Stegostoma tigrinum: one gene and its partners. The protein of the gene in region 3 interacts with the protein of the main gene of each other region in a biochemical or structural test. Links are inferred from orthologs where the notes say so. Each region holds a gene or a part of one and is shown on either strand. Other genes may lie near its edges.

Region 1 (7,447 bases), on a different chromosome or scaffold from region 3:
GAGAATGCAGACTTGGGTAGACTTGCAGTTTTGTTTTCTCAGTCAGCTTGTTATTTTTGTTTCACACTCTCTCTGGCATCCTGGCCGATAAATATTCCTCAAGTAACATCACAAACTGATTAACTAATGGTTATGTAATTGACATCTGCACCTCGTTATAAGCAAATTTCCTACAAATAAAACAATTAATATACCTCAAAACCTTTGTCCTAAGGTTCCCATTGGACCTGCATTTACACAGAACCCGTCTTTCATCGAATATGAAGATGTCAACAGGAATTCCTGGTGATAATGTCATTGATTAATGTGCTCCTATAGTAACTGGTAATTTAAACTGAAGCAAGAAGGTCCAACAATTTATGGTTACAGACTACAAAACATGACGGACAGTGAGGGCGGAGAGGAGAGAGGCAAATTAATTATGCTGAAAACATAAAGCACTGTACTTTTGAAGGAACAGCAATGGGGAAAACTGGTTTAAATACGAAGTGATTTTCATGGTGTGCAGCTGCAGAAAACATTACTCAAGACAGTATAGAATAATGCCATAAGACAAAGCAAATCCTCAGAGACAAATGATGAATTAGTGCTTGGTCTAGGCCCGAAACGTCAGCTTTTGTGCTCCTGAGATGCTGCTGGGCCTGCTGTGTTCATCCAGCCTCACATTTTAATTATCTTAATTAGTGCTTGAGTTCAGTTTGGCTTAGGTTGGAATGCGTTGGGTGGCTCACAATAGTTTGGGTTGTTAATAGATGGGGGAAAAATTCACCGTATATTACAGAGTCTGAGAAGTTAGACCATTTTCAATTCATTTGCAGGACATGGACAAGCAAAGCTGGCATTTAAGGTGATGTAATTGAGCTTGTTAGGCTACCTTAGTAAAAACACTAAAAGGAATGCATGCTGGTGTGGCATTGGATCATAGGGAAAACAAGGTAAAGAACAGTGAGTCTCCTTCACTAAAGGAAACAGACGAATTACATGGGGTTTTTAAGGCAATCCGATAGCTTGACAGTTGCACTCACTAATATCAACTTCTCAATTTCAGATTTATGAAATTAGGACAATATCAAGCTCCAAGTGGAGAACACTGAGTAAAGGCACCAGGAAAACTTCAAAACACCAAAATCAGACTACAGTCAATAAAAGACAGTAGGCCTCTCTTAAAAGTAAAAAAGCATGTCGTTTACAAAGAAAAAAGATTTTTGAACAATACAATTGGGCAATTTGAGTTCAGGAAGCAATTAGCGACAGCCTTGCCCATGCAATTAGTGGGAAGCTTAACCAGAGAGTTACTGTCCTCCACAAACAGCCCAGCACATAAAATTTTATATCATGGCGTTGCAACACCCAATTTCTTTGCTGCAGCATGGTTTGGTAGAACAATCAAGTCAAATTTGATAAGGGAAGAGCTAATGGAAAATGTCCATTTAAAAAGAAATTCAAATATAAATGGCTGATGAGGAAAACAGGCTATTCTCACACACCTCAAACAATTTAGACAGACAGATACACAAAGAGGGAGAAGACCTACAGAATGCAACAAAGAGGACCAGGCTGTTTTAAAACTGCAGTTAGCAATGTCACAGCCAAGTACAAGCATTAGATTTTTTAAAAATCAGATTACGTGAATAAGATAGAAGTGAAATATTATTTTAACCAATAACATATCCAAAATTAAAGCTTATCTCCCTGAGAACACAAAAAAAGCTCAACTCCATGAAAATGGTTAAAGTTTTACTTCTGATCCCAGATCATTATAAAAGGAGTTATCAGTACAGTATACATTATAGAGGGCACTGAAACAGCATACATTTTACCAAGGTATTAGTACAATATACATATACCATGCTGTTAGTACTGCATATACAATAATGGGGTTTTAGTATTGTACGCATTATACTGGAGACTGCAAACGGATTCCTGACTGTAGACTATAAACTCAGAAGGTCTCCTACAATTCACACATAATCATGAAGCTTTACTGCATAACTGCAAAAAAATGCGAACTGTAACTTGTTGTGGGAACCATATTCTCTGGTTCCCATCTCTCAGCAAGTTGCCATTTACATATTTTTTGCAGTTATGCGGTGAAGCTTCACAAAATAACCCATCCACCGGACTGCAACGTTAGTACAAGCCACAAAACCGACCAATTCCAAAGGAACGTTTTGGCAAAAATGTTTACCTGAATCCTTGGGTCGACTTCTTCCTCCTCTGGCACTTCTAACTTCTCATTCTTCTTCGACAACCCGTCCATTTTGCGACTAAATTATTTATATCTTACAGCATTCAGTCTCTTTTATTTTGGGAGAATGTAAAAAAATGCAAGCTAGGACCGAAATTCGAAAAGGAGAGAGAGAAACACTCAGGGAAGTGAAACAGAATTGGCTTCACTATCGATTAAGACGTTGTCGGAGTCAACACTGCTGTATCCTGCAGAAACATCTGGAATTCATTCTTCCACTAAAACAGGCTCCAACGAACGAGGCAGCAAAACTTGGACGCGTAAAAAGCTGCAATAATTCAACATTTTTGAAGTGTCCGGAGGAAATATACGCCGCCCTCTCGGATGCAGACTCTTGTCGTTCAGAGCCCTGGTAGGAGGAAAATCATTCTAAATATATCCACAGACAGGATGAAAGGAGGTTGGCGTTGTCATACAATAGCGACGTTAGCACAGCTCGTTCAAACGGAGTCAGAGAGGCTACATTCTCCAGGATTCCTCAGTGCGCTGCTACTCCGCCCCTTCCTCTTACTCTGGGCTTGTTGGCGATTGCTTTGTTCTAATGAGATACAGGCGTAATAAAGGCTGAAAATTTACCTCCGCACCCCCCCAACCTTCACTTACCCGCAGGGGAGGATGCAGTTACCAATCTAAGACCAGCGGTTATTTCCAGCAATTTCTCTTTCTCCCTCTAAAGAATTAATTTCTTTCAATTATTGCTTTTATTTTCATGTCCTTTATTGGCTCTGGAAATAACGGGCTGGGATTGCATCACGGATGATGGCTACCCCTGTGCTGATTCGGAGATAATTTACAGAATATCTCACTGACACACAGCATCTTGCAGAGCTCACTCACTGCCCAGTCTGGGTAATACTGGGTCACTAAGTTGTAGCGCCCAGTTCAGGCTGGAGGACACAACCCGCGCTGGCACTATTGATGGAGTGTGGCATATTTTGCACGACGCGTTAAAAGGCCCTGTTCTGCCCTCTCGTGTGAAGATTGTGTGGCATGAGTTTAGAGAGATAAGGCGTGTTCTCCCTTTTGTCCTGGCTAACGTTTGTTCCTCTCACACATTACAAAAACATGCAACCTGCTTATTATCTCATCCCATATCAAAAATATTTCATTAGGTGTAAACTATTTGAGATCATGAAAGTTGCCGTATGAATGCAAACCTGTCTTTTGGATCCGCACCCTCTCGGATCCGCTACAAACCAAGCATTTTGATGTTACATTGAGTTCCATATTGAAGGCAACAATTCGTATAATTCTAGTTTGGAATGAAACACCGTGTTGATGTGGAAAGGTATGATTAGCATTCATAGTATCAGTTCCTCCCTCAAATTAACTTCACTAATGAAAATAGAGGATTATTTTGAAATTGTTACAATGACAGACAAAAATGCAGTGCGAATGCACACAACAGAATATCCAAGAAAGGGAGCTCAGACAGCAAAACCCGCTCAAAGTCTGCTGCTGTGGTAATAACGTTCAATTCATTTTCTGTTCTTCCATAGTAATATGGTTTGTACTGAAATAAGATTATTGTATGCTGGGAGCTAAATTCCTAGAGGAAACGTCTGTTTTTTTTTGTTCGTTTGTTTTAAACCTTTGTAAAAATCATCTGTTATGCTTATCAGTATTCAAAAAATGAAGGAAGCTGAGATATTATTTGTTTGGGAAATATTACTATTAATCAATACAAGATAGTGAAAGTCTGAAAATGAGCAATTAAAAAGCAATGTAAAACCTTGGTTAAATCTTTTTCTCACTTAATTCAACAACCCACAAACATTTTTATAGTCCATTTAACAACCAGAATACCTTAAAGCTTCAAAGTAGTGTTATAGGACAACATGTTACACTGTGTCACATAAGGAAGTATGTTTCCACACTGTAGGGATTCTATGAAATCTGGTGATGAACGGTTTGCTCAAAGAACTCAAGAGTCGTAGAGTCCAGCAGCATGGAAATAGACCCTTCAGTCCAACCAATCCATGCCTAACATAATCCAAGTCTAAATGTGTCCCACCTACATGATCCTGGCAAATATCTCTCCAAATCTTCCCTATACATGTACTTATCCAAATGTCTTTTAAACATTGTAATTGTACCCACATTCACCACTTCCTCAGGAAGTTTATTCCACATGCAAACCACCCTGTGTAAAAAAATTTCCTCGTCTTTTTTTAAATCTCTCTCTTCTCACCTTAAAATAACATACTCTAGTCTTGAAATCCCCATCTGAGGTAAAAGACAGCTACCATTAATTCTATCTATTCCTCTCATTATTTTATAAACTTTTACCAAGTTGCCACTTAACCTCCTACACTCCAGAGAAGAAGGTCCTAGCCTATCTAGCCTTTCTTTATAACTCAAACCTTCCATACCCAGCAATGTCCTGGTAAATCTCAGAGGAAGGGTCACTGAACCCACAATGTTCACTCAACCCACAACGTTCACTCTGATTTCTCCCCACAAGTGCTGCCAGACCTAATGAGCTTACAACAATTTCTGTCTTTGTTTCTGACTTACAGCATCCGCAGTTCTTTTCATTTATAACTAGGTTCTATGGATTGTTTTAAAGACGGAGAGGGAAAGAATAAAGAGTCTGAGAAATGAACTGACTCATCTTAGTTCTTCAGTTAATTTGTATTAGTCTGTCATCCTCTTGGAAAATTGCCTAAGTGAGAGAAATAGGTGGATTTTATTAATAATTTAATTCAAGGAACAATATAGCTTTCTGAATTTCAAACAAAAACAGAGATTCAGTAACAGAAAGTTACCAGGTCAATTTAGCTATGCAACCTGACTTCAACAGGAGTCTAGATTGGGGAGTCAATCATTTATTTAATCCATGGGAAGTGTTGAGGCAACTCGCTAGTCCACAATAAAGAGAAGTCCTCGAATCTTAGTGCTGTGAGTTGTTCAGAAACCAAAATGAATGAATCTAGTGGCGAATGATGGGGTGATGATGAAGTCAGGGCAGTCATGTGATTGAGCATTATAGAGGTAGAACAGCAGCAGATGAAACAATTCAACATAAGGTTTACAATGGGTAAGAATATCAGTAACTTTGAAGAGAGAGGAACACTCTCCGATTAAAGCAAAACAATAGCACCCATTTATCAATAAAATCCTGGCTGTTGTTCATGTGTTGCTGGGTGTTGAGATGGACTGCTTTACTGTCCATGGAATTGCAAATCAAAGCAAACATTCCAAAAGTATCAAAAAACAGCTCTACTTTTATAACCATCTTGTGGTCCCTATTGAGCAGAAATTGACTTAAACCCACCATATAATGCCATTATATGACAGGGCTTTTGTGGCACAGTTGTTGTGTCACTATTTCTGAGTTAGGAGGCCAAGTTTCAAGTTCCACTTGTTCAGGAGGTGTCTAATAATATTTCTGAACAGGTTGAATAGAAAATACCTGTAAATGCCATGGCAAAAACGCTAGTGGTGCAACAGTAGTGTCCCTGTCTCTAGACCAGAAGGCCTGCATTCAGGTTCCACCTGCTCCAGGATGTGTCACAAGATACCCAAACAGGTTGAATAGAAGTAACTATAAATACAATGGCAACTTAAACAGAAATTCTGTGATGAGTAGTTCATCTCCTGACTGCCAAAAACCTCACCTCAAGGCACACCAAAGAAACATGAAGCAAAGTTTTCCAGTTGCCCAGAGAGATGCAACTCCAACATCTATGTACTCATCGAACTGTCATATTCCACATAGATTCTGAGAATACGCAACAATTTGTTTATTCATATAAACATAAATATGTGATGCCATTTTGCCCTTTGTGCAAAAAAATTCTATCCTCTCTGAATGGAAAATTAACTAGTCTGTGAACAGAAAAGAAAATAATACAAGTTCAGCAGATGAAGCAGAATTTCCAAGTTGCATTTAATAAAAATTCCAAAAATGGAGGCCTGTCTTGCAAGGCCAGAGTTTATTAGTTATTGCTAATCGCACATGAAAACGTTACCCATGAGTATTCCTGAAGTGTGGTGACAGTACTTCCATATGTATTGTTAAGTAGTACAATCAAAGCATCATAAAATGGTTACAGTACAGATTGAGGACATTCAGCCTCTCAGGCCAGATGCCAGCTTTCTGCAAGAACAATTTAGCCCTATTTCCACACTCTTTCCCGATAAATCCTGTAAATCTTTCCCTTCAGATGCTTATCTGACCACCTTTTGAAATCAGAATTGAATTGGCTTCTGCCATCCTGTCAGTCAGTAAATTCCAGACTGTTGGCACTCACTGTGTTAAGAAACATACTCCTCATGTTGGCCTTTCAATCTATATTCTTAAATCTATATTCTGTAATTCTTCAACCTTCCACTAATGGAAATATTTTCTTTGTCTGTATTGATCTACTCCATCTGGATCCCCTTTGATTTTGAACTCTATTATTAAATGTCCAACACTTGCTTCCCTAATAGGAAGAGCTGAAGAAGCTCAGTAGGTCTGGCTGCATTTGTGGAGAGAGATCTGCTGAATTTTGCTTTTATCCCAACTCCTCAAATTACACAAAAGTCTCTTGTCCTGGAACCCCATGATTCTCCCTACATTCTTCACATCCTCCTAATGTTTGTTGTCAGAATTAACATCACATCTCAGTTCAGGCTGAACAAACGTTAAAGGTTCAACATAGCACCCAGAACTGTGACAATAAAGGAGCAGTGATATATATCCGAGTTTGGTTATGTGATTAAGAAGGGAACCTTGAAGTGACGGTGAGGCGATGTCATTCTCCTAGGTGGTTGAAATTGTAGATTTTAGAAGAGCTGTTGAAAATACTTTGGCAAGTTGCTGCAGTGCAGCTTGTACAGTCACTGAAGTTAGATTTGATCTCTACTGGATACTGCATACTGTGTTCAGCAGCAGCAAAGAGGACAAGTTTTTTTCAGACTTCGAGTATTTGTATGAGTGAATCAGAGGTGAAACTGAACTTGTGTTGGATATAGCTGGTTTTAGGGTGCTTCGGTCAGCTGTATATAGTAATTAATACGACTCTTTAAGTGTCAGTCAGTGGCTCAATGGAAGCACGCTCAGATCATGGCGGGGGGTGAGGGCATGATGATGTAGTATTGATGTCACTGGACTAAAATTCCCAAGGTCCAGGTCAGTGGTCTGGCTGCATGAGCTCAAATCATACCGTTGCAGTCATAAAGTCACACAGCATGGAAACAGACTCTTTAGTC
Region 2 (7,926 bases), on a different chromosome or scaffold from region 3:
TACTATCAATTAATGTTGAAACACATTTCCTTATAATACTGTTATTGGTGCCTTCATTTAATTTGTTGCAATTCTCCTCAGCGTTGAGCATTCCTTTGAATCTGAAGCTGTCTATGTTCTTAAAAGTTTCTATTTAAAATCTAAAAAATTTTTATAAGTAAATAGTGAACAATGGAATCACTTTTCCCATTTCCCATTCTGAACAGTATCTCTTCACCCACAATTCTAACATTTTCCGTTTTTCTGTCTGTTTGAATATCCATTCTGTTACTGATTCTATATTCACATGCTATTCATTACTTTATTATTTAAATAAATTTACTATGTACCTTATGGGAAGTGTTTAGAAAGCTTGATACGTTACACCTACAACATTACCCATGCCTATTCTGACCACTTTAAAAAACTGAGGTTAAATTAAGGGAGACTTTCCCTTTTCGGATATTGTTGAGTCATCATATCATTTTTCTTGATACTTAAGACCCTTAATAAGAGAACATTTCTCAGGGAAAGAAATTAAACAACAGCACTACATTCTTCAACTGAAAATTAGTTCATCAATAATCTCAAAAAAAGCATCACAGCACTGCTGGGAGCTTCAAACCACTGGCAGACCAAAAGTTGCAATTCCACTAACTTACACTCTGATTTAAGTGTTTTGGGCACACACTGGTGCAGATGTAGCCAGAAGAGGCTGAAATATTAAAATCCTAAGAAACAAGACATCCAAGACTAGTTTCACAGGCTTATTTTCAAAGTGCAATGTTAACTACAAAATTGTCTTAACATCGCACTTTACAAAATTCAATGTTGAAACAACTTATCTGGTGTCAGTTGTCACAAAATAAAACACAGCTTCTAATTTTGGTCAAATACATTATTATGCAACAAAATAACAAAGATGATAAACTAATTAAAAGCTATCATTTAGCCAGTCCACGAAATGTTCAATGACAAGCTTTGAAAAGTATTAATCCAGTATTACTGCCCTGATTAGACAGTTATAATAGTGTTATCATCCCACTGGATAACACCAGGGCAACATAGAGCAAAACCCAGCTGAACAGATCTAAGATGCTGCTTAGCCGGCTGTGTTCATCCAGCTCCACACTTTGTTATCTCTTTAACAGACCATAAGCTTAATTTATTTCCAATGTTCATACCATGGTATCAAGTCACTGAGCACATTCACACTAAGTTGCCAATGTATATTTAACAAAAACATAACACCAAAATAGAACAATCAATCTTTTCCCACAATATCCTTTACACTAAAGCTAAGCAAAATAATCAGTCCAATCTCTACTTCAAAATTTAAGAACTCAATTGACGAGGCTACAAACATTCCCTTTTGGAGATTTACTGCAGAATCACCAGATGCGATTCCATTTCTCCCAAGACAAACATGCTAACTCATTAGCTTTTCTGACTTTAACCACTTTGAGGCTGCTAAAAGATTAAGATCTATTTCCAGTTCAATTGGTCTGAAGACCATCAAAAGCTAAATTGCCTTTCCACAGTGCTTTTTTTCTGAACTCAACACGTTTGTGGCCTCAGCCACCTGTCTTTTCCTTAGATCATAAAAACACTAGTCAGTCAACAATAAGCAGCAATTATTTCACAAGGTACCATGCTGAGTCACTTAGCTTTTAGGTGAAAGCTCACGATTGTATGTTTTCTTTAGTTCACTGTTTCAAATGACTTGCTGACCCTTTATTTTAAAAAATTCATTTACAGCACTATACCAAAACCCTGTTTACCTCAAATCAAAATTCTGTAAATAACTCATACAATCCAGATTTACTGTAATAGTCAAATACTGTTCCATTCAAGGTAACAGCTACATAATTTTTGCCAATTTAAGATTTCCAACATAACATTTACTACCATGCAATTGATGCTCAATGATAAGTTAACACCGCAAGTTCCTACGTAGTAGCAACACGTTCATGCTCACATCACCACGACTCAGTCTTCCATTTTAACCATCGACTTTCTTCTCCCTTTTGCAGGATTTTTCCCTCAACCTAACTTGCCACGGATGCCCGCCTCCCCTTTGACGATTGGCTGCTCTACAACTCAGCCTCAAATCTCGGCACATCCATTGGACAAACCCGCTGCCCTTCAATCGTGCCGTCACTGGGGAAGTTAGGCTTTACACGAAAAGCAGCAGTACTTCATGGGCGCCTTGCAGAGCCGGTTTCACCAAGACTCCCGCCAAAGCCATCAAAACAGCACAATCACCCCTCACCACTCTAAAATTGCTGTTCTAAGACAAAAATAAAAGCACGTACAGGATTGTTCAAATAAAAGACACGATGTTAAAAAAGTCAACCATTCAGCAGATGAACTGGTCTATGTATTCTGCCGCCGAATCAAAAATTAAACCCACTTTAGAGAAGAAAACTCTGAATCCCTAATCCATTCGACTTCGTCCAAGTCGCGATTTTAACCAGAGGGCGATCGGGCGCTCGATCACAGATGATGGCGGTGATCTAGTATATTAGGAATTGGGGAGGGGGAAGCACTTGTGTATGCCTCCGCTCGCTGCGGTACAACAGCCGCGGAGTCACACTACGGAGAGGCGCCGGTTCTCCAGACCGGGCGAGCGGTTGGCGATGGCGCCGGCAGTACAGCACCACGCTGCAGTCAATGCGGCCACTGTAGACACTCAAAATAAACCCCTTTCCCGAACGCACATGTAACGGAGAGAGGAAAGAAAGAAGCCGCTACCTGATCTCACTTCTTCCCCTCCCCCTTTCCCCAAGCTGAATTTTATGAAGGAGAGAGCAGGAAAACTCCGACTCACAGGAAAAGTGGCGACGCGCACACAATCCGAAAATTTCCCAGCAGCCGCCGATGGAATATTCTAGAAAAGGAAAGAAATAGCAAAAGAACGCGGTTCGAATGATCGCTCACAGGATCATTGAACGGCTGCCAATTACTTCAACTCTGGGTAATAATTTTGTGGGTTCTTTTTGGTTTGAAAGAAATCGAACAAAATTAAAATCCTGTACACCACCCGAACTACAGCTCAGCCGACAAAGCCTGACGGCGCCTTGTCCCTATTGTTCCCTTCAGCCAATGCGTTGCTAGAACGCATGCGCTCCTCCCGGGGTGCACCATAGGCTTTGTAGTCTCGGGCGCATGGATCGGCTCCGGGACCTCAATACCGGTTGGAGGGGCGTGGACTACAATTGCCAGGGTGCAATGCGCTGAAACATCTCAGGCAGTTTACAGCCCAGTGCTTGATTGGAAAAAATAGGAAAAGGGCTATTTATTTTGTGCAGCATGGTGTGCTGCATAGATTTAGACACGAAGATAGTAGCCTATCTATTGCAAGGTGCAGTGTGCAACCCTACTCTCAAAAAAATATCGTTACTAAATCGACCAGATCATTTAAGTTTCACCACGACTAATTAATATGCAAAAGTAAAATACGGCAGATGATGGAAATCTGAAATAAAATCAGAAAATATGGGTGATCTGAAACATTAACGCTGTTACTGTTTCCACATAAGCTGTCAAACATGCTAAGCATTTCTAGAAGGTTCTTCGGTTCCACTTTCTGTTTTCATTTAATTTTACGAATTTATGTTTTTTTTCTTAAGTTGGAGTCATTAATAAAATAGAGGCTGAACTATGCTGCTTTATTTTACTATTATAAACCTTCCTTCGAATCAAACTGACTCAGCAATCTTAGGCGTAGAGAAGGGCAATTGTTGTAAACTGAGAACATTTGCCCCCGTTAAATTTGGAAAATTGGCAGGAAAAATTATAATGACAGAATGGACTATCTTGAAAGAGAAAGTTCTCATAAGGGAAAAATGCAAACCTGAGATGTTGAAAGAGAACAAAATGAAAAGGTATGCATACGACAGATATAGGCTTGATAATGAAATGTGATCAAAGCTGAACATACAAGGTCCAGAGGGTAAAGCAGGAGGGAAATGAGAGGCAAAAAGAGTACAAGTTGAGACTGACCACTAACACAAAAGGGAATCTGAAAGAAAACAAACGTATAGTGAAGAGGTAGTAATCAGAAGAGCAAAACTGATTAGGGACCAAAAAGGGACTCGATAATGAGTGCAGAAAAGGAAACAAAATAGAATCCATAGAGTGTGGATACAGGCCATTTGGTTCATCACGTTGACACCGACCCTCTGAAAAAGAAGTAGTTGGAACACAGACTGGGCTAAAATTAATTAAGAATAGAAAGTAAAAAGGCTGGTTGCACATAACCTTGATCCATTATAACAATCAGATAATATATATGTCAGGATGCCAATGGAAATTGTGTTTAATTGACATAGTTAAATTTAATGAGCCACAGAGAGGGTTGATAGGGTCAAGTTTTTACAGATGTGTATGGACTTCAGAAAGTATTTTATAAAACGTCATATAATAGATTTGGCAAGAAAATGTATGTCCACAGAATCCAGGGAACAAAGGCAGCATGAATATTAAGCTGAATGGTTGACAGTGGGGGTGGGAGGGTTTAAATAAAGAGAAATTTAGAAAATTACAAAGAGAAAACAAGGCAATCATGTGATTGTGTGATAGGGTAATGTGTGACAGGAAAGCCCAAAGTTTACAAAATTAAAAGTGGACCAGCATGTAGAGTCAGAGTAAGGAAACATTACAAGAAGACAAAACTTATGATTATTCATCTGAATACATGTGCCATTTTCAATAATATAGCTGAATTGATGGTACATGTAGAAATGAAAGGGTATAATCTGACAGTCGTTACAAAAATACAGTTGCATGATGACTAAGATTGGAAACTGAATATTCAGGTGTACTTGCAAATTTTGCAAGGATAGGCAAAATGAAAAAAAAGAAAATGGGATAGGTCTGTTTATAAAGGATGAAATCAGAATAGTAGTGAGAAATGATTTTGGCTTGAAAGATCAAGATGGAGAATCAGTGTGGATGGAGATCAGAAATAGCAAGGCAGAGAGGTCATTGCCAGGAGTGGCCTACAGGTCCCCCTAACAGCAAAGCTGCGGACAGAGTGTAAATGGGAAGGTAGCAGGGTCTTGTGCTCAAGGTACTGCAGTAATTCTGAGAAAATAATCTTCACATATTTTCAACAAATTAAATTGGCAAGGGTAGCTTCGAGGATGACTTCCTTTTGGGAGTTGCAAATGCTATTTTGATCAAGTAATGTGTAATGACGCTAGATTAATCAATGTTCTCTTAATAAATTATCCTCGAGGGAAGAGTGAATGTAACGTTACAGAATGTCACATTCTGTTTTAGACAGTGAAAGATGAATTTGTCATAACCCTAAGCAAAGGCAATTACAAAGATATGAAGTTTGATTTAACTGTGGTGGACTAATGCAATACGTTAAAAGTTGCAATTATAATTAAGCAGTGCAAACATTTAATTCTCAACAAAGATATTTATTTAAGTTAGAAAGGAAGACTGCTGAAAAGACAACTCATCCGTGGACAATTAAGAATGGTTTAAAACAGAAAGAAAGGCATGTAATGTTGCAAAGATTGATAGTAAACCAGAAGATTGGTCAACAACAAAAACAGAACTTACTGGAAAAGCTCAGCAGGCCTGGCAGAATCTGTGAAGAGAAAATCAGAGTTAACGTTTCGGGTTTGGTGATCCTTCCTCACAACACTTTCAGAAGATTGGTCATTTTTTTCAACAAAAAAATTAATAAATTATGAAAAGAAATTCAAAAACGGCGTAAGTTTTCACAAAAAATACAAATGGAGAGAGAATGAGCCAGAAGAAGTATTGTTCGCTTGGAGGGTGAGGTGATATTATTAATGGACAGCAAGAAAATAGCAGAAACTTTGGATAAATTTTTATTTGTCTTTCGGGGGAAGGTACTAACAGCAATGCAATAATAGTGGAAAATTAGTGGGAAAAAGGGAGGCAGGATTTAATCACTCGCCATACAGAAAAGATGTTAATTAAACTAAAGGCTCAAAAGTCTCCTGGACCTGATGGCTTTATGCCTTATTCTTGTGTCGTGCCAAGTATAAGCGTGCCATATTACAAAATTTCAGTAAATACTTGTAAAAACTGGACACAAATAAGCTTTTGCAAATTATCTGACAATTGATATTTGAACAACAGACCATATCAACTCTAAAGCAAATGCCTAATTAAATATGGACATTTACAGTCATCCAGGGAACTTACACATCATTTATTTAATAATGGGCCAACTCTAAATAGCAATAGAATTCTCAGACTGCCTGTCTCCCTGATTTATGCCGGATAAAGGCGAAGATTGAAACCAAATTTAAGGCAGATAGAAGTGAATCACTATCTACATCCTATGTATTATAAGAATTTTTCTCATTCAAACTAGACAAGGTGAGTCTCAAAAATGTTAAACCACAACACAGGATGTTGGAATCTATATAAATATCACCACTTTTTATTTGGTCTGCTTTTAACTGTTGCCTAAATACTGGTTGCAGGCAGTCCCATGACAAAGCCAGCAAAGTCACTATTCAGTGTTCAGAAGGCCACTAAGTAGCTGTAAGTCATCAAGCAACCAAGGTAATTAACAGCAATACCTTGAGAGTGGGAGATTTAACAGAGAGTGCTCCTCCAACCTATTCCAACTTCAAGTGCTCTGAGAACCAACCTCCTAAAAATTCAACCACGGAAAACCTTACAGCCTGCTGAGAATCCTTCACTCTACAATGCCCTCACTTACAATTTTAGGTATTAAACACCATCCTTCCACATGGAAAAGCAGAAATCATAATTCAGAGATCAAGATAATTACAAACTCTACAAGTAATTTACTTTCATCTATATCTCACGTTTGCATTTGCGAGCATGAGTATGTAAATTGTCATGTTTATTTTGGTATATGCACATGAGAATAAATAATTTTGAAATTCACGCAAGTTGATGAATATTATTTAATTTGGACATATATGCCAACAGTAAGAAACGAATATCTCTTTTTTTTGTAAAACATATTGATAATAGGCATTTTGTTCTTAAATAGTTGCAGAGATTGTGGCTGCATTTACTGTAAATAGGTTCATTTCATGTAATCTTCCGAAATTCACTACTTTCACTAAATATCCAAACACACTATAAAATCACAAGGAAATTGGGAAACAGAAAGCAGAAAACCATAAACCAATTAGCCTTTCACCTGTCATTGATAAAATGCTGGAATCCATTATTAAGGAAGTAGTAACAAGACATTTAGAAAATCATAATTCAGTCAAACCAAACCATCATGATTTAATGAATGGGAAATAGTGTTTAACAATTTTTTTTAGAATCCAGTAAGGATGTAATGAGCAGGGTGGAAAGTGGTAATCAGTGTTAGGAACTCCATAGAGGCTGGTAACTTTAATGAAAAAGAACTCCCCAGTGATCAAAGCAAACAAATGGCACAGCAAGTGTTCGTACTTTTAATTCTCCACAACCCTTACTAGGTTCCATCTTCACCAGGACTTTGCTTGGTGATAAGCCCGAATAGTTTTTTTTTACCTTTGTCTGATACAGCAGTACTAGCTTTAGGTCTTCTTCCCCAAATACCCCAGTCTAACTGTTTCTGACAGTCTGCAAGTCCTAAAGCAACAAGAATTGTTGCTTTCTCCTTTACATTCAGGTTTTAAAACCTGCACCTTGTTTTTAAGGAGCTTTGACCTGGGCCTCTTATCTCTGTGGTGACAAGATCACATTGGCTTGTGTCTTCACTTTGAGGTCAAAAGTCCTTCACTACTGTTATATTTTGCCTTGATTTAAAGGAGATAGTTAAGACATGACTCTCTTACAAAGTCGATCTGTCATTGCTATATTGTATTTGGATTTCAAAGAAGCATTTGATAAGATGCACATAAAAGGCTGGTGTGCAGGACGTTTTCAAAATCACAAATTAATGGTGTGCTTCAGGGATCAGCGCCGGAGGCTTTACTATTT
Region 3 (7,530 bases):
GCCTCTGGTAAGCCACTCACTCTGGGCTTGATGTTGGTACTCACATTTCTAGAACATAGAACATAGAAAAGTACAGCACAGTACAGGCCCTTCGGCCCACGAAGTTGTGCTGTGGAATAATCCTAATCCAAAAATAAAATAACCTAACCTACATTCCCCTCAATTCACTCGCTTAAATGTCACTAATGACTCCACTTCCACAACTACCACTGGCAAACTATTCCATGCGCTCACAACTCTCTGGGTGAAGAACCTCCCTCTGACGTCTCCTCTGTACCTTCCTCCTAACACCTTAAAACTATGACCCCTCGTAGCAGTCAATCCTGCCCTGGGGAAAAGTCTCTGGCTATCGACTCCATCCATGCCTCTCATTACCTTGTACACCTCGATCAGGTCACTTCTCTTCCTCCTCTCCAGAGAGAAAAGTCCAAGCTCAGTCAACCTTTCCTCATAAGACAAGCCCTCCAGTCCAGGCAGCATCCTGGTAAACCTCCTTTGCACCCTCTCCAAAGCTTCCACATCTTTCCTATAATAGGGCAACCAGAACTTGACACAATATTCCAAGTGTGGTCTCACCAGGGTTTTGTACAGCTGCAGCATAACCTCGCAGCTCTTAAACTCGATCCTCCTGTTAATGAAAGCCAAAACACCATATGCTTTCTTAATAACTTTACCCACCTGGGTGGCAACTTTGAGGGAGCTATGCTCTTGAACACCAAGATCCCGCTGTTCCTCCACACTGCTGAGAATCCTGCCTTTAATCCTATGTTCAGCCTTAGGTTCAACCTTCCAAAATGCGTCACTTCGCATTTGTCCGGGTTGAACTCCATCTGCCATTTCTCAGCCCAGCTCTGCATTCTGTCACTGTCTCGCTGAAGCCTGCAATAGCCCTCGATACTATCAACGGCACCTCCAACCTTTGTGTCATCAGCAAACATACTAACCCACCCCTCAACCTCCTCATCCAAGTCATTTATAAAAACTACAAAGAGCAGAGGCCCAAGAACAGAGCCCTGTGGGACACCACTCAACACTGACCTCCAGGCAGAATACTTACCATCTACAACCACTTTCCGCCTACTGTCAGCCAACCAATTCTGAATCCAGACAGCCAAATCACCCTGTATCCCATACCTCCTGACTTTATGAATGAGCCTGCTGTGGGGAACCTTATCAAATGCCTTGCTGAATTCCATGTACACCACATCCACTGCTCGACCCTCGTCAACCTGTCTCGTGACTTCCTCAAAGAACTCAATAAGATTTGTAAGGCATGACCTGCCCCTCACAAAGCCACGCTGACTCCCTTTAATCACACTATGCTTTTCCAAATAGTCATAAATCCTACCCCTCAGAATTCTTTCCAAAACCTTGCTGACCACAGACGTAAGACTGACTGGTCTGTAATTTCCAGGGATTTCCCTATTCCCTTTCTTGAAAAGAGAAACAACATTTGCCTCGCTCCAATCTTCCTGTACAACTCCTGTGGAGAGTGAGGAAGCAAAGAACTTCGCCAGCGGCTGAGCTACCTCCTTTCTTGCTTCCCTGAGCAACCTAGGATAAATCTGGTCTGGCCCTGGGGACTTATCAATCTTAATGTTTGCCAAAATTTCCAGCACATCAACTTCCTCAATCTTGATCTGTTCAAGCTGGTTTTCCTGCTCCTCAAAGCTATCATTCACAGCAAGGTCCCTTTCCTAAGTGAATTAGGTCCTGAGCCTAAACTGCTGACCTGGACGTTATGACGTTGGAACAACCAGCTGCTGCTATAATGCTAGCTTCTAATTCACAGCTAGTGAACTCCTGCCTTCTGAACCCACAATCACCACTTCGTAGTCATAGCATTATTCGGCATAGAAACAGGCCCTTCAGCCCGCCATGTCCAGGTCATCCAAAAAATACCAAACTACACTAATCTCAGATACATGCACTTGATCCATAGCCTTATGCATTCTAGCATTTTAAATGCTCATCTAGATGGTTTTTAAATACTGTGAGTGTATCTGTCTCCACCACCCTACCAGGCAACGTGTTCCATATTCACCAAAAAGTAAAACAAAAAACTGTGGATGCTGGAGATCTGAAACATAAACACATGTAGGTCCAGCAGCATCTGTGGGAAGAAAGCAGGTTTAACATTTCAAGTCCGGTGACCCATTTTCAGAATTGTTAGTAGTTCAGACAAAGTAATATTTATGCTGAAGATGAGGTTAGGTATGGAGGGAGGGGGAGATGGAAGGGCAGAGGTGAGCAAATAAGTGGATACAGAGCCCAGAGAGAGACAGAAAGAGATATGAAAGGGTAGCTAAACAAGAAGGTTATGGATAGCAGGCCTGGACAGAAGAAAGGCTGAATAAGTGAAATAAGACCTAAGAGTAGGAGAGAATAGGTGAACTGTACTGACAGTATACCATATAATATGACAATAGGCCGAGGAGTACATGGGAATGAGTGACAGTGCTAAAAGCAACCAATGTCACAATAGGTCCAATGTAAGGTGGTAAAATACATGGAAGGATAGAATCTGGCTCTAAAGTTATTGAACTCAATTTTGTGTCCTAGAGGCTGCAGGTCCCCAAGTGGAAAACGAGATGTTGCTCTTCAAGCTTGCACTGATGCTCGCTGGAACACTGCAGCAGGCCTGTGTCAGAAATGGTGGCATGGGAACACGGTGATGTGTTGACATGGCAGGCAACTGGAAGCTCAGGATCATTCTTAGGGACAGAGCGTAGGTGTCCTGCAAAGTGGTGACTCAGCCTATGTTTTATCCTCCCTATGAAGAGGAGAAACATTGTGAGCAGTGAATGCAGTAGACTAGATTGAGTGAAGTCCAGAAAAATTGCTGCTTCACTTGGAAGGTGTGTCTCGGACCTTGGATAGTGAGGAAGGAAGAAGTAAATGGGCATGTATTACACCTTCTGTGGTTGTATGGGAAGGTGCCATTGGGATGTGAGGAGATACTGGGAGTTGAGGAAGAGTTGACCGGAGTGTCAGGGAGGGTATGGTCCCTGTGGTAGGCTGACAACGGAATGTGTCTGGTCATGGTGTCCTCCTGGAGTTGGCAGAAACAGCAGTTAATGATCATTTGGGGCGCAAAGTCTGGTGGGATGGTAAGCAAAGACCATTGTTGTGGGAGAGAAGAGATGCAGTGATGGCAGAAAAGCAGGAGATTAGTTGAACACAGCTGGGTGTTGAATAAAGAGGCAAGAAAATCTTGTAACCACTTTGTAAAACATTGGGTAGGCCACAGATGAATATGTGCAGTTCTGGTCATCACATAATCGAAAGGATGTGATGGCACTGGAAGGGGAGTGGACAAGATTCAGAGCTTCGCTCTTTCTTCAGGTGTTACTGAAAGTGGTAGTATCAAACACAGAATTTTATGCTTTATTTAACCAAGCCTAAGATGCTGTTCAATCTTTATTCAGTTAGAAGGTTTTAATTGATTAATATGTGTAGGTAAATTCCTGAATTCCTTTCAAGTCATTGTCCTGAGAGAACTAAAGGTTTTATCACTGTAAATAAGAGGTGACATTTTAGGTTGGACAATGCATGCTAGGTTATAACTGCATGTTATAAATTCTGTGTCTGATACTACCTCTCTCACTAACACCTGAAGAAGGAGTGAAGCTCTGAAAGCATGTATTTTCAAACAAATCTGTTGGGCTATAACCTAGTGTCATGTGATTTCTGATCTTATCCAGTCACTCCACATAAGTGAGACCTTCCATCCCAGGCAATATCCTGGTGAATCTTGTCGGCAACCCTTCCAGTGCAATCACACCCTTTCATTTATGTGATGACCAGAACTGCACATATTCATCTGTGGCCAAACGAATGTTTTACAAAGTTGTTACAAGATTTTCCTGCCCCTATATTCAACAACCAGGCTAATGAAGGCAGCCATTCATATGCAGTATCTACCTGTGCTCACACCTTCATGCATCTATGGAATCGTGTACCAAAATTTCATGTTAACCTTTCCATTGTAAAGGTGTCTGCTCTTTGGAAAAGTTTCTGCCTTTTATGCCTGTTGTGATGACATCAAAGATAACTTACCTTCTGATTCAATGCTACCTCAGGTTACCTCTAACGCGAAAACGAGTGATTAGTTTGCAGGCAACAGCTTGTGAAGGCTTTTGTGGTGCAGTGGTAGTGTCTCTACCTCTGGGCCAGGATGCATGGGTTCAAGTCCGACGCACTCAAGAGCTGTGTCATAACACCACACCTCTCTGATGAAGGCTCTCGGCCCGAAACGTCAGCCTTTGTGCTCCTGAGATGCTGCTTGGCCTGCTGTGTTCATCCAGCCTCACACTTTGTTATCTTGGATTCTCCAGCATCTGCAGTTCCCATTATCTCTGGCCATAACACCTTTGAACAGGTTGTCGAGGTAAATATCTGGAGGCACTAGCTACAGAGAGACAGCAAACAGAAGAGGGCAGCACTGGATATGTAAATACAAATTAATTTAAATAAAAACTGCCCTCTGATGGAAATGAGGAACTTATCTGTTAGTTCCTGGCACAGGGTGGAGCTAACATTGTCTGAGAGAAATTAAAGAGGCAGGGAAGACAGCTAAACTGATCCCTGCCGTGCATGGATAGCTTGTAGGTAAGTGAAACAGGGAGTCTATGTTGGGCAGTATAATAATGTGTGGATTCAGTTATAATCTATTCATTTCAATGTATTTTCACAGTGAGTGTGGGGAGAGTAGCTTATTTTGTTGGTTGGTTCATTTTCCTGTTTAGTTTGGATTTGGGGAACTGCAGAACTGCAAATGTTTTTGATCTGTGTTTCTGCAAACCAGTCCTGTTTGATGAATAATTAAGGAGAGAGGCCTCTTTGATTCTACTGTCCCTTGGTGAAGCAATGTGCTTGGGAGTGGGACTGAGGTTACAATCTCACTTGTGCGTTCCAGCCCCAGGTTCCTTCAGTATCTGTGCCGTAAATTACAGGCTCTGACGGCTGTAAAGCTGCCCCTGTCTGCAGTGTGGCAAAGCTTTATCCATCTTCACTGAAGGTGTGATCCTTTCAAAACCATCAGTAAATGTGCAAATAAACCCAGCACTTCAGCTTTTGCCACAGACAAAAGAGTTATTTGAAGAGAGGATGAAGGAGGCTGGCATTAAAATTGCAATTCCTCATTTTAATTTTAGCTCCCAAACCACTAGTGTTTACCTTTGGGATAATAGGTTACACCTTGACTTAAATGTAAATCTCAAAAACTTGCAAAGATCACACCAACAGATGAACAAGTACAGATCAAGCATTGTGAGAGGAGCTATCATTTGGATATGGGATTAAAAGGATGGCCTGCCTGTCCTTTTAGTTGGATTGAAAGATCCCTTCATGAGGCCATGAGAAACGGACATGGGTGTACAGAGTCCTGCTCTTCCAGCCTGCTCCATCATTTGGAAAGATCATGGCCATCAATTCAAATTTCTACTGTTCTCCCTATTTCCCTTCAGTCTAAAGTTATCAATCTCAGTCTTGAATAGAGAATCACAGAAACACACACCCCATCAACAAACAGCCAAGAGATAGTAAACTGTAACTGACCAGACCCTTAGGTGGTAAAGAAGGTGTACGGCATTGGTTGGGGCATTGAGTATAAAAGTAGGCAAGTCATGTTGCAGCTGTATTAGAATTTAGTTTGGCTACATTTGGGGTATGTGCAGTCCTAATCACCACACGAAGGAAGGATGTGAAGGCGATGGAGAGGGTGCAAAAGAGCTTTGCTAAGATGTTAGATGTTAACTGGATTCAAATGTATTAGCCAGTTACAGGGATTGTTTTCATGAGAATGTCAGAGGCTGAGTATCTAAAATTATGAGAGACATGAATAATTGGCATCTCTTAACCAGTTTGGAAATGTTAAATACTAGGGGCCATAGATTTAAGTTGAGGGGGGGCAAGTTTAAAGATGTGTAAGAAAAGAATTTTGACAGTGAGAGTCGTGGGTGCCTGGAACACCAGGAGAGGTGGTAGAGGCAGATACATTCGCAAAGTTTGAGAAGCATTTAGATAGACACACAAACAGGTAGAGAATAGAAGGATATGGACTACGAGCAAGCATATGGCATTAGTTTCGAATATCATCATGGTGGGCCAAAGGGCCTGTTCCTGTGCTGTACTGCTCTATGTTTATGTTCGCCCAGGAACACATTTTCCATTAATTGATAGCACCTGAAAGCCCACACCCAACAATAGACAGCACTCTGGAATACACATTCCATCAAGAGGCAGCAATCGGGAACCTGCACAACATCAACAGACAGCACCTGGGAACACACGCTCCATCAATAGTCAGTAGCCAGGAACACACACCCCCATCAATAGACAGCCAGTGGGAGCACACACTCCGTCAATAGACAGCACCTGTAAACACACACCCCATCAATAGACAGCACCCAGGAGCACACATCCCATTAATAGACAGCACCTCAGAACACACACCCCATCAACAGACAGCACCCGGGAACACACTCCATCAACAGACAGCAGCCAGGAACACACACTCCATCAACAGACAGCACCCAGGAACACACACCCCATCGACAGACAGCACCTCAGAACACACACCCCATCAACAGACAGCACCCGGGAACAGACACCCCATAAATAGACAGCTCCCAGGAATACATTCTCCATCAATAGACAGCACCTGGGAATACATGCTTCATCAGTAGATATCATGCAAGAAGATATTAAAATTCTGAGAAGCAGAATTATTTTCAAGTGGAGAGGTAGGGGTTAATCAATGATAGGCAACATGGCTTTCTAAGGCAGATGTCATGCCTAACGAATTTGATTGAATTTTCTGAGTGAACTGGGTGTGTAGATAAGGGTAGTAAAATTGATGCTGATGGACTTCAGTAAGACTTTTAATGAAGTATTCTGCGGCAGGCTGGGTAAGAGTGTAACCATGTACGGGTTTCATGGAAATTTGTCAAATTGGATCCAAAATTGGTTTAGGGTCAGAGGGTGATGATAAAGGGTGTTTTTGTGACTGAATGCCTATATTCAGTGGCATACCACAAGGTCTGGTGGTGGGTTCTTTGCTGTTTGTTGTGTACACTAATGATCTAGACATGACTGTAAGAAATATGATCAATAAGTTCATGAATGACATGAAAGTTAGTGGTGTTTTCAATAAGTGAGGAGGAAAGCCTGAAATGGCTGGTCAAATGGGCTGAACAGTGGGAAATGAAATTTAATTCTGAAAGGTGTAAGGTGATGTACTTTGGGAGGACTAATTAAAAAGTAGCATGTTGGGATATATAGAGGACGAGATGGACCTTGGTGTGTATATCCATAGATCCTTGATGGCAGCTGGGCAGGTAGGTTGTTAAGTTTGTTAAGAAGGCATATCGGATACTTGCCTTTATTAATCAAGGCACTGAATACAAGTGCAGGGAGCTTATGATGGAGCTGTTATTATGTTAGTTATATAATATATATATAATGCCCCAGCTGGAGTACTATGTGCATTTCTGGTCTCCATGCTGTAGAGATTGCTCTAGAGGAGCT

Evidence for each region. The genes of interacting proteins can lie anywhere in the genome.
Region 1: the proteins of btk (region 3) and SH3 domain-binding protein 5-like form a complex in vitro, tested with the Homo sapiens proteins (2 studies listed by BioGRID, with this or other methods). The link is inferred for Stegostoma tigrinum from reciprocal best matches to the Homo sapiens genes BTK and SH3BP5.
Region 2: the proteins of btk (region 3) and general transcription factor II-I-like form a complex in vitro, tested with the Homo sapiens proteins (4 studies listed by BioGRID and IntAct, with this or other methods). The link is inferred for Stegostoma tigrinum from reciprocal best matches to the Homo sapiens genes BTK and GTF2I.

The regions. Positions count from the first base shown.
Region 1 is NC_081355.1:21,867,813-21,875,259, reverse strand, and holds the start of SH3 domain-binding protein 5-like, read right to left. Parts: upstream 3,089-7,447; 5' UTR 2,261-3,088; coding exon 2,189-2,260; intron 1-2,188. UniProt on the Homo sapiens protein: Functions as a guanine nucleotide exchange factor (GEF) with specificity for RAB11A and RAB25. Inhibits the auto- and transphosphorylation activity of BTK. Plays a negative regulatory role in BTK-related cytoplasmic signaling in B-cells.
Region 2 is NC_081380.1:9,698,896-9,706,821, forward strand, and holds the start of general transcription factor II-I-like, read right to left. Parts: upstream 3,089-7,926; 5' UTR 2,810-3,088; intron 2,756-2,809; exon of another isoform or gene 2,734-2,755; intron 2,526-2,733; exon of another isoform or gene 2,393-2,525; intron 2,003-2,392; exon of another isoform or gene 1,888-2,002; intron 1-1,887. UniProt on the Homo sapiens protein: Interacts with the basal transcription machinery by coordinating the formation of a multiprotein complex at the C-FOS promoter, and linking specific signal responsive activator complexes.
Region 3 is NC_081368.1:71,924,684-71,932,213, forward strand, and holds the start of btk (tyrosine-protein kinase BTK), read left to right. Parts: upstream 1-4,522; 5' UTR 4,523-4,611; intron 4,612-7,530. UniProt on the Homo sapiens protein: Non-receptor tyrosine kinase indispensable for B lymphocyte development, differentiation and signaling. Binding of antigen to the B-cell antigen receptor (BCR) triggers signaling that ultimately leads to B-cell activation.